Linked DNA regions of Saccharomyces cerevisiae S288C. The protein of the gene in region 2 purifies or fractionates together with the protein of the main gene of each other region. This does not show direct contact. Each region holds a gene or a part of one and is shown on either strand. Other genes may lie near its edges.

The links. Proteins that work in one complex are often made in the same cells at the same time.
Region 1: the proteins of ERB1 (region 2) and NOP2 purify together in Saccharomyces cerevisiae (affinity purification with mass spectrometry; 6 studies listed by BioGRID, with this or other methods). This does not show direct contact.

What each region holds. Positions count from the first base shown.
Region 1 is NC_001146.8:508,602-512,896, reverse strand, and holds NOP2 (rRNA (cytosine-C5-)-methyltransferase NOP2), read right to left. Parts: upstream 2,358-4,295; coding exon 501-2,357; downstream 1-500. Other genes in the region: actin-related protein ARP5, read left to right, coding at 1-229; tRNA 1-methyladenosine methyltransferase subunit GCD10, read left to right, coding at 2,685-4,121; MTQ1 (S-adenosylmethionine-dependent methyltransferase), read right to left, coding at 4,195-4,295. UniProt on the Saccharomyces cerevisiae protein: S-adenosyl-L-methionine-dependent methyltransferase that specifically methylates the C(5) position of cytosine 2870 (m5C2870) in 25S rRNA. Required for 60S ribosomal subunit synthesis and processing.
Region 2 is NC_001145.3:367,594-373,958, forward strand, and holds ERB1 (ribosome biogenesis protein ERB1), read right to left. Parts: upstream 2,925-6,365; coding exon 501-2,924; downstream 1-500. Other genes in the region: CSM3 (Csm3p), read left to right, coding at 1-341.

The DNA of each region.
Region 1 (4,295 bases), on a different chromosome or scaffold from region 2:
GAAAGAACGTATTGTGAAGGAATTCACTGGATTCCTTCCTACCGGTACCAATATCACTGTAAATATGTCTTCAGATCCTTCATTGGATGCCTGGAAGGGTATGGCAGCTCTAGCACGAAACGAAGAACAGTATAGGAAAACAGTTATCAGTAAGAAAGAATACGAAGAGTACGGTCCAGAGTACATCAAAGAGCATAAGTTAGGGAATACGAAGTATTTTGAAGACTAAGGAGACAGCAAACTGAAACGCCTTAAAAACAAAAAAAGAGAAATAAATAGAGATATATGTAATACTATATTGGCAACGAATATTAATAAGTAATATCATCGCCTTTTTTCTTAGTGCTGTTTACAAATCGGCTTTATTATTTCTATTTTGAATTTAATATACAGTGAGACATATTTGAAATTGATATATATATATATATATATATATGTAGACAGAGAAAGATTAGAGAGAGAAAACTATGCTAACATGATGCCACTACGTTTGTGGGAACTTATTTTTCGTTAGAAGGTCTTTTAGCTTTTGGATTGACACCCTTTTTCAAAAGATTGTTTTTCACAGACTTTTCAATGTACTTATCGTCTTCTTCGTCCTCGAAGGTTGCGAAGTCAGAGTGAATGATACCTTCTTCCAAAGCTTCCTTTCTAGCAGCAGTTTCCTTTTCTTTTGCACTTGCTTGGTTATCATCAAACGAAGATGGACCGATCTTTTGGAATTTAGCGACAAAGAACCCATCGACGTTGTACGTATGTGGATAGTACCTCCTCGCTAATTTCACACTAGGATGAAACTTTTTGCCTCTGTAACTAGTAAACGCTTCTTTACCGATCGCTAAACCAGTATCGACTAACTTGACATTCGGTCTTTTTCTCAATGCATAGTCTATGACAGCTTCGTCCTCTTCCACTGCAACAGAACATGTCGAATATACTATTACACCACCATGTTTCGAGTTGCAATCAACAGAATCAATGGCGGATAGAAGCAATTGTTTTTGTAGATGTGGAATTTGAATGAAGTCCTTCTCGGTACGAGACACCTTGACAGATTGATCCTTACCGATAACACCAGTACCGGAACATGGGGCATCCAGTAAAATTCTGTCAAAACCTCCAATTACCTTAGGGAACTCACGGGCATCGTAATTGCATACAATAGTGTTGGTACAGCCTAGACGGTGGATATTAGCAATTAAAGATTTTGTTCTAGATTTATTGGCGTCGTTAGCGAAAACACAACCTGTGTTTTTCATCATAGCTGATATATAAGTGGTCTTACCACCTGGAGCAGCTGCCATATCCAAGATACGCTCATTTTCATGAGGATCTAGAGCAATAACTGGTAGAAAAGATGATGCCGCTTGTAAAATATAGTGACCTGCCAAATATTCTGGCGTAGCACCAATTGGGACTTGGGAATCGAATATTTGAAGACCAACTTTAGTCCAAGAACCAATAGGTTGTAGATTAACACCTCTATTCACAAGAGTTTGAGCTAAGTCTCTCCTTCTGGTCTTCAAGGTGTTGGTTCTGATGGTTATTGGTCTTGCAATTTCATTGGCTTCGAAAAACTCCATCGCCTCTGCTGGTGAGAATAGATTGAATAACTTTTCCGCCAAAAATGGTGTATAACCAAAGTACTCACAAATATCTTTCAAAAGTCTGTCAACGTATTCTCCTCTCGATCTGCCTTCTGCACCAAGAGTCTTAAAATTTTCCAAAACCTTTACAATTTCAATCATTCTTGTTCTTGTGGAAGTTAAATTAGGAGTTTCTTGTGCCATCATTTCTTCCTGCTCCTCAGTGGGCAATATGTCTGCTCTTGGTTGCATGTTCTCCGCTTCCACTAACTCCATTTCGGCTTCTTCAGCTTCTTCAGCTTCTTCTTCATCAAGTTTCTTAGAAAGAGCTTCCATGTTTTGTGCATTTAGTTCTTCAAGATCAGCCTCATCGTCGTCATCTGAAAAAATTGGGTGGGCGTCATTATCTTCATCTTCATCGTAATCATATTCTTGTTCCAAGTCAAATTCATCTTTTAGTTCTTCATCCACCAATCCTGCTTCATCGTCATCTTCTTCATCATCAAATAAAGATTTCCTGGCTTTTGATAATTCTTCAAGATCAACTTCTGGCAAATCCTTATCCTCTTCAACAACTTCTTCCTCCTCTTTTCTAGATTTCTTGAATGGCTTCGACTTCTTTTTCTTTCTATCAGAAACTTCATCCCCTTGCGTGGTAGAAGGTCTCTTTCCTTTTTCTAGCTTTCTATTAGCCTTCTTTTCCTTTCTTGCCTGAAACTCCTCCAGGGTTGGTGGGGCGGCTTGCTTGTTCTTATGACGTCTACTACCCATTTCCTATTATATGTATATGTAATTCTAATATTAGCCAACACAAGGGGAATTCCGCCAGAATTACAAATCTATATACCTTAGCGACAACTGTATTTGCAGCTCAGCTCATCTTAAACTTATTCTGCGATGAGATGAAAATTTTTTTCAGAAAACGTGAAACTGGGTAACGGTTTTGTAAAATCTGAAAAATTTCATCAAAAAAAAAAAAAAAGTCGATGAGGTGTATAATAACAATAATAATATTCAACTTTAAATTCTTTGGCACGTTGGATCCTACTCACATTGTTGCAAACGAATTGGACAAAAAAACTTTGAATTTAGTGCACAATGAATGCTTTGACAACCATAGATTTTAATCAGCACGTTATCGTCCGGCTGCCATCAAAAAATTACAAGATAGTGGAACTAAAGCCCAACACCTCTGTATCATTAGGAAAATTCGGTGCTTTCGAGGTTAATGACATAATTGGTTATCCTTTCGGGTTGACTTTCGAGATATATTATGATGGCGAAGAGGTTTCATCCGATGAAAATAGAGATTCGAAACCAAAGAACAAAATTCCCATCGGGAAAGTAAGGCTATTATCGCAGGAGATCAAAGATGTCAATAATGATAAAGACGATGGTCAAAGCGAGCCTCCTTTATCTATTAAGGAAAAATCTGTGTCTCTTGAATTGTCTAGCATTGACAGCAGTGCTACGAATCAGAATCTGGTTAACATGGGCAGCAAGGCCCAAGAGTTAACCGTTGAAGAAATTGAAAAAATGAAACAAGAATCTTTATCTAGTAAAGAAATAATCGACAAAATTATCAAATCTCACAAAAGTTTTCACAACAAGACCGTATATTCTCAAGAGAAATATGTGAATAGGAAGAAACAAAAATTCGCCAAGTACTTCACCGTTGAGTATTTAAGTAGCTCTAACCTTTTACAATTCTTAATCGACAAAGGCGATATCCAAAGGGTATTGGATATGTCTCAGGAATCGATGGGGATGCTGTTAAATCTTGCGAACATCCAATCAGAAGGCAACTATCTCTGTATGGATGAAACGGGTGGGTTATTGGTTTACTTTCTGTTGGAAAGAATGTTTGGCGGTGACAATGAAAGCAAATCCAAGGGCAAAGTCATAGTTATTCACGAAAATGAACATGCCAACTTGGATTTGCTGAAGTTTGCTAATTATTCTGAGAAATTTATTAAAGAGCATGTACACACCATTTCTCTATTAGATTTTTTTGAACCGCCTACACTACAAGAGATTCAGAGCAGATTTACACCATTACCTAAAGAAGAAGCCCGTGCATTAAAAGGTGGTAAGAAAAACTCGTACTACCGAAAACTCAGATGGTACAATACACAATGGCAAATTTTAGAACTAACAGGAGAATTCCTATATGACGGTCTTGTAATGGCTACTACACTACATTTACCAACACTAGTGCCAAAGTTGGCCGAAAAAATCCATGGTTCAAGGCCGATTGTATGCTATGGTCAATTCAAAGAAACTTTGTTGGAATTAGCTCATACTTTATATTCAGACCTCAGGTTTTTAGCACCATCAATTTTGGAAACTAGATGTAGGCCGTACCAAAGTATAAGGGGTAAGCTACACCCTCTGATGACCATGAAAGGTGGTGGTGGATATCTAATGTGGTGTCACAGAGTCATCCCTGCTCCTGAACCTGTATCGGAAAACGCGACTGCAGCTGACTCCAGTGAAAAGCTTGCTGAACATGGAGCTAAGAAACAAAAAATATAAATGTCCACAGAGTGTTCCGTTTGATAACTTCCAACAAAAAAACCTGAGAATATATATATTTACATTTATATACTTAGTTGCAATTAGCTTTGTGCCCACTGAGTGCGGTTGCTAAATGTCTTATAGTCCCAAAGGATGCAAAAATCTGGTGTAGTATTCGCCCTTTGGGAGTGG
Region 2 (6,365 bases):
GAGGACGAGTTTTGGACGAACGTGGGAATAATGAAACGGTACTTAACAACGTTGTGCCGCCTAAGGAAGATTTGGATGCATTATTGAAGACATTCAGGGTACAAGGGCCCGTTGGCCTTGAAGAAAATGAGAAGAAGCTCTTATTAGGATGGCTAGATGCGCATAGAAAAATGGAAAAAGGCTCTATGACTGAAGAAGACGTTCAACTGATTCAAAGTTTGGAAGAGTGGGAAATGAATGATATAGAGGGACAACATACTCATTATGATTTATTGCCAGGGGGAGATGAGTTTGGCGTAGATCAAGATGAGTTGGATGCTATGAAGGAAATGGGCTTTTAGCAATGTCATTGAAGGTAATAATCCAAACGTGCGTGTGGGCATCTATACATATAGGTTTATATATATTGTGTAAATAAAGCTTGTAGAAAGAGCCTGGTTCGAGTGTTTGATTTTTTCTTCTTGGGCGTTATTATACAATATCTACTTCAAATTATTTATCTAGGTGGTCCATAAGCGAGCCGTATTATCAGCACCGGCAGAAAACAGCCAAGCTTCCCTCGGATGCCAAATAGCATCAAGAACACCCAGACTATTGATTACTTTATGACCGGTTAGTTTCTTTAGTGGCACAATCATCGGATTTTTCATCATGTCATCATAAACAGTGGCATGGAAAACATGTATGGTACCGTCATCAGCGGCAGAGCTGAATAGAGGTAACTTTTTGTGGAAATTCACACTTCTGACGGCTTTTTCATGATATCTTAGTGTCTTGTAAGGTGTGCTAGCCAAATCCAGGTCGTGCCATAAAACTCTCTTGTCAAACGATGACGCAATTAAATTATCACCCCTTGGGTGAATATCGATTTTCGATAACCAACGGGCACCAGGCAACAGTTTCTTGACCAATATTTGTTGAGATAAATCATAAATTCTGACATATCTTTGGGAACAGACAAATAATTGAGGTTTAAAAGGATGGAACTTCGCATCCATAATAATGCCCTTCGATTTTTTGAATGGGGATTGGGTTAAATGCTTGGAAACTTGGTGAATCAAAACAGAAGTGTTACCAGAGTCAGGTTGAACAGTGACAAAGTAATCACCTTTTCTATGCCATGAAAGCTTTTTTACTGTTTTTTTGCAAGAAATAGTGATACAAATATCCTTTTCTAGTTGCTTTTGAGAAGGCTTGTTCCATTGGGCTACTTGTTTTTTTACAGCATTCTTAGCAGATTCATTCTCTCCATCTTCATCGCCATCACCATTCTCGTTCACTTCTAGGTTAGATTTTTTAACAGTCCCAAAAGTATCGTAGCCAAAACCATCTTCAATCTTAGTTTTGCCGTTATTTTCAATATCGTAGCCGAATATTGGTGGTACTATTAAATGAATGTTTTCACCAACAGCAACGGCGAGAATACCATTATTAGCATCAGGATTCCATTCAATGCATTCAATGTGGTAATCTGGGTTTTCCTCGTCATCGATTAAAGTAGTTCTATAAACTTCTCTACCAGTTAAAATTTCCCATACCCTGACTGTTCCGTCATCAGATCCTGTTGCTAGCCATAATCCAGAAGGATCAATGGATAATGTGCGTACTTTTCCTTTGTGACCAGCGTATATTGTTGAGCAACGAATAGGGAAGGGTCTTAAATCCTTGGGAGAGGGAAGTTCTGGAATTAGAGAATTAGGATCAATATTCAATTTGTTTTTACGGACACGAGGAGCTAAATATAAATCCAAAGATCTTTCAAATCTTTCCCTAATAGATTCACCGTAACCAGGGACCTTTCTTAAGGCAGAATACTTTTGAGGTATGAAGTTTCTTTCTCTTTCACTATATTCAGTATTTTCCCAGGCCTCCTTTTCTTCAGGAGACAAAAGATACTCTTCTGGTGGATTATAACTCTCTTCATTAGTTGGTGGAGGTAATTTTGGTGCCCTTAGATGCATTACATGATCATTTGTTTCCGTAGAATCACCCCATAAATCGTATTGATAGTTTTCAATTTTTTCCTTTTCTTTCATTTCCTTTAATTTTTTAGGAGGAATAATACGGCCCTCTCTGATAGCTCTTACAATTTTCATAACTCTCTTGGCTTCGTTTTTGGATGGAACAAATCTTCTTTTTGGCTCCGGAACAGCAGTTAATGGCATCACTTCTTCGTGTCTCGTGAACCAATCGATTAACGGTTCGTATGGATTTATGCTATCATCAGTTTGTTCGTTCCTTTGGATTTTGGAAATAAGTTCTAATTCCTCTTTGGTTAAGTTCAAACTTGAACCGGAATTCTTGTCCAGTAAACCAGTCCAGCCTTCAGGTAGCTCGATAGAATCCAACAGTTGATCTAAAGCAGAACCCTTGGCAGGTCTCATAATCCTTTTACCGTTGATATCGTATCCAATGTGTGGCATTTCATCGTATGCAGAAAGTGGAATATTACCAATGGTATTTTGCGTTTCGGCATCACTATCATCGCTATCATAAACTGGATTAATTTCAGGTTTGATAATTCTATCACTGCCATCTGCATATTTTGAGTAAATATTCGGATCAACGATCGTTTGCAATTTCACACCCGATAATCTGTCTGTTAAGGAAGTTGTGTCGTCTGAAAACTCAGAACTGTCATAGTCCTCTTCCCCATCACCTTCTTCTTCGGCAAGCAGTTTGTTTAATTCAGCATCGGAGTCATCATCAGAATCATCTTGGGCTTCTTTATCAGAAGATGATTCCTTTTCTTCAACGGCAGACTCGTATTCGTCATCATCCTCGTCACTCTCACTTGCTTCCGCATCGATCAAACCGTCAACGGATAAAAGCTTGTCCTCATCTTCCTCGACATCAGATTCTTCGCTAGCTGCTCTCTTTTTCGACATCTTTGCCTCGGTAGTTTTGTTGTTCTTAGCCATCATTGACCTAGTTATGTTAGAACAGATTTAATACAGTACCTTTCTTCGCTAGGATCTATATGCGAATATATCACATATGTAAATTATAAGCTCATCGCAAAACCAAAAAAAAAAAAATTTTCAATAATTTTTCACTAATCTTCAAAAACAAATGGGGTAACCCGTACAAGAGTTATTAAAACCCAAAATGACAAAATCGCGACAATTCAATCCTACTTAATTAGCAATAACATACTAGCGGTAGAGCTACTATCACATGTTGAACCTTGAATGCTCAATTCATTGTACTCAATACTGCTATCAAAAGAAAAAAAATGTATTAATTATATTCTTGTCAAAATCAATTTTACACTATAAGAGGAAAATGTTCTTCAGTCCTAGTAACATTAGTTTTCTCCCTTTGCTAGAGACTTTACATAATATCCTAGAAGGTAAAATTCGATAATACAGCAGTAAAGTCGTATATTGGTAGCAATCCTTGGTGACGCTGACTTTTTTTTTTTGTAATTTTATTGTTTAGTTCATGATAAAAAACTTCAAATCACTTTTAATCTGGTAGACAGAGAAAACAAATCGAAACGAAAATAGAGAACTACGAATAAAAAAATATAAGTGGAGAAGATCGTCACTACGCATTAAACAATATTGATCGCTCAATGCCAGTACTGCGCGTAAAAGTTTAGTAACTTAACGATTTAGGCACAATTTGAGAAAAATTTCGCCCTGCAGTAAGTATGTTATTCAGTACGATATAAAGCTGAGGTTTTATGCTGGCAACGTTCAGATTTTTTAGGTTATCAGCAATGTTAAAATATTAAATAGGATACTTTTATTGTTTGAGACCACCCTCAATGCCAGATATGTTAAACGCTTTTTTCTGGAGTGAGGTATCATAGAAAAAGGCTCGAGTACATCAAGCACTTAAAGGTTCAACACTCTACTGTTACTTCTTTAAGCTAAGCTATTCATACATAATAGTCCATCAAAGTGGCTCAAATTGCGCATACAGTGTAAAAATGCGTTCAGGGAATAACGATGTCAAGCAGCGTGTGAAAATTGGACACGTTGAATAATAAACTTCCTGGAAACCGTCGCGCGCCACTGCTGTCAGAAAATAGTAGACTACTTAATTTTCAATTCATATTTAGCCTGCTTTTTGATCTATGAAATCGCCCACTCTAAATCAGCGGTGTTTTTGCACGGTTTGTAATTTTAACTTCATTATATGTATTATTCGGTGACTTCACTAAAAAAGAAGGATCTATGCAATATTCTTATCTTCTATTTTTTTTCTTTTCGATTTTTGAAGTTAAACCTTCGTAATGAACAGATTCGAACAGTATACAGCTGATGACAATTACATGTTAAACTTTCATTGATGATAATGGCACGCACTCCACCTGTTAAAGAGGCAGAACGAAGAACCTTTGCTTATAACATAGGTCAGTGTATACTGGATAATAGTATCGAATAACCAGCATAATATTTTCTCTGGAAATACCTTTAAGGGGTTTTTAGAAGAAAAACAAATCCTAGTGCAACTTGCAAGTCATCAAAAATAATCTATCTTATCTCTATATATATATTTGTGTATTTTATATTTTATGACAAAGCTAGAAATATAAAATCAGATACCGCAATAGAAGATATTTCAAATAATAATACCAATCTCATAGCTCAAAACAGGCACTAAGGGAATACTGAAGAAAGTAATGTCTAGGAGTTAGTATAGCTTGAAGTTGCCATCGGTGTCATTTAGGTAGATCTATCTAGATTACGCGCAGCCCTCAGAAAAGCAAGTGATTTCCGAAGTTTCAACCTACCCAGACTATTCACATAAGGTTAATTTATGATTGAACAGTTCAAATAAATCTGCGCCATTCATGAAGATGATTCGATACCGCAATATGCTGCTAAAGTGCTAAAAAAATGATTTCGCCCAGGATCGAACTGGGGACGTTCTGCGTGTTAAGCAGATGCCATAACCGACTAGACCACGAAACCAGGTTTTATTGAAAAATTGCATCTAAAATAACCTATACTAATAAATCTTCTAATAAATCTTCTAACTCTTCGCTGTTCTATGTGATATCGTTGATAGTTAGGTTTTCGTGTTGAAATAATCAATTACATTTATTGACTGGTTTAATATTAATATATTATCATATACAGTGTAAGAAGGTGAGATATATGTGGGTAATTAGATAATTGTTGGGATTCCATTGTTGATAAAGGCTATAATATTAGGTATACAGAATATACTAGAAGTTCTCCTCGAGGATATAGGAATCCTCAAAATGGAATCTATATTTCTACATACTAATATTACGATTATTCCTCATTCCGTTTTATATGTTTATATTCATTGATCCTATTACATTATCAATCCTTGCGTTTCAGCTTCCTCTAACATCGATGACAGCTTCTCATAACTTATGTCATCATCTTAACACCGTATATGATAATATATTGATAATATAACTATTAGTTGATAGACGATAGTGGATTTTTATTCCAACATACCACCCATAATGTAATAGATCTAATGAATCCATTTGTTTGTTAATAGTTTGAATGTTTTTATCGGAAGAGGTTTGGTCATTACGTCTGCAATATTCTTTTTGGTTTCGATATAGCATACGTGCAGATGATTTCCTGATACTTCATCTCTTAGTCTCATTGCTTTAGTACCAAAAAATCTGTTTCTAAATTTCTCTTCATTATTGGATATAATTATACTGATTGTAGATTTACTGTCGGTTAGTAATCCTTTAGTAATTGGTTTCTTGTTAAGTTCTTGCACAAGGTGACTGAGGTTATTTAATAATGGGACAGATTCACTTATCGCGTGTATTTCTGCTTCCGTAGTTGAAGTACATGTTAATGAAGCCTTGGTGGACTTTCCTCCAATTACTTTTCCATTAAGTAAATATATGTTGCCAATTTGTGATTTATAATACGGTTGGTTACCATACGATGCATCGCTTATAACAACTAATTTATTTGTTGGCTTAACAGGTTTGCTTTTGTGCCATATTAATTGCTTATCTCTCGTATTCCATATGAACTGTATCAATTCATATGTCATATCTAACACTTGCTTGGACGGAAATAGTATATGTTGTGCAAGTGTGTTGATGTAGTATAATAGGTCAAATCTAAATTTATATCCAACATATGATGCTAGACCTATCAGCTTTTGCATTTCATGTACCTTCATTTTGTAATCATCTTCTTCTAGCTCTAGTTCTTGCTGGTCTATATATAGACCTGGTTGACCTGGAGCGCTAAGTTTCCTTCCTTTTGGGTTCAAAGGTACGTTTAGTTTGGGTATTTTTTCAGTTAATGAGTTTTCCATACCTAATTTCATGTATTTACCTCTTTGATATTTGATTTCTAAGCCAAGTATGTCGTACTGAATTTCGTTATCACTTTCACCCAGAT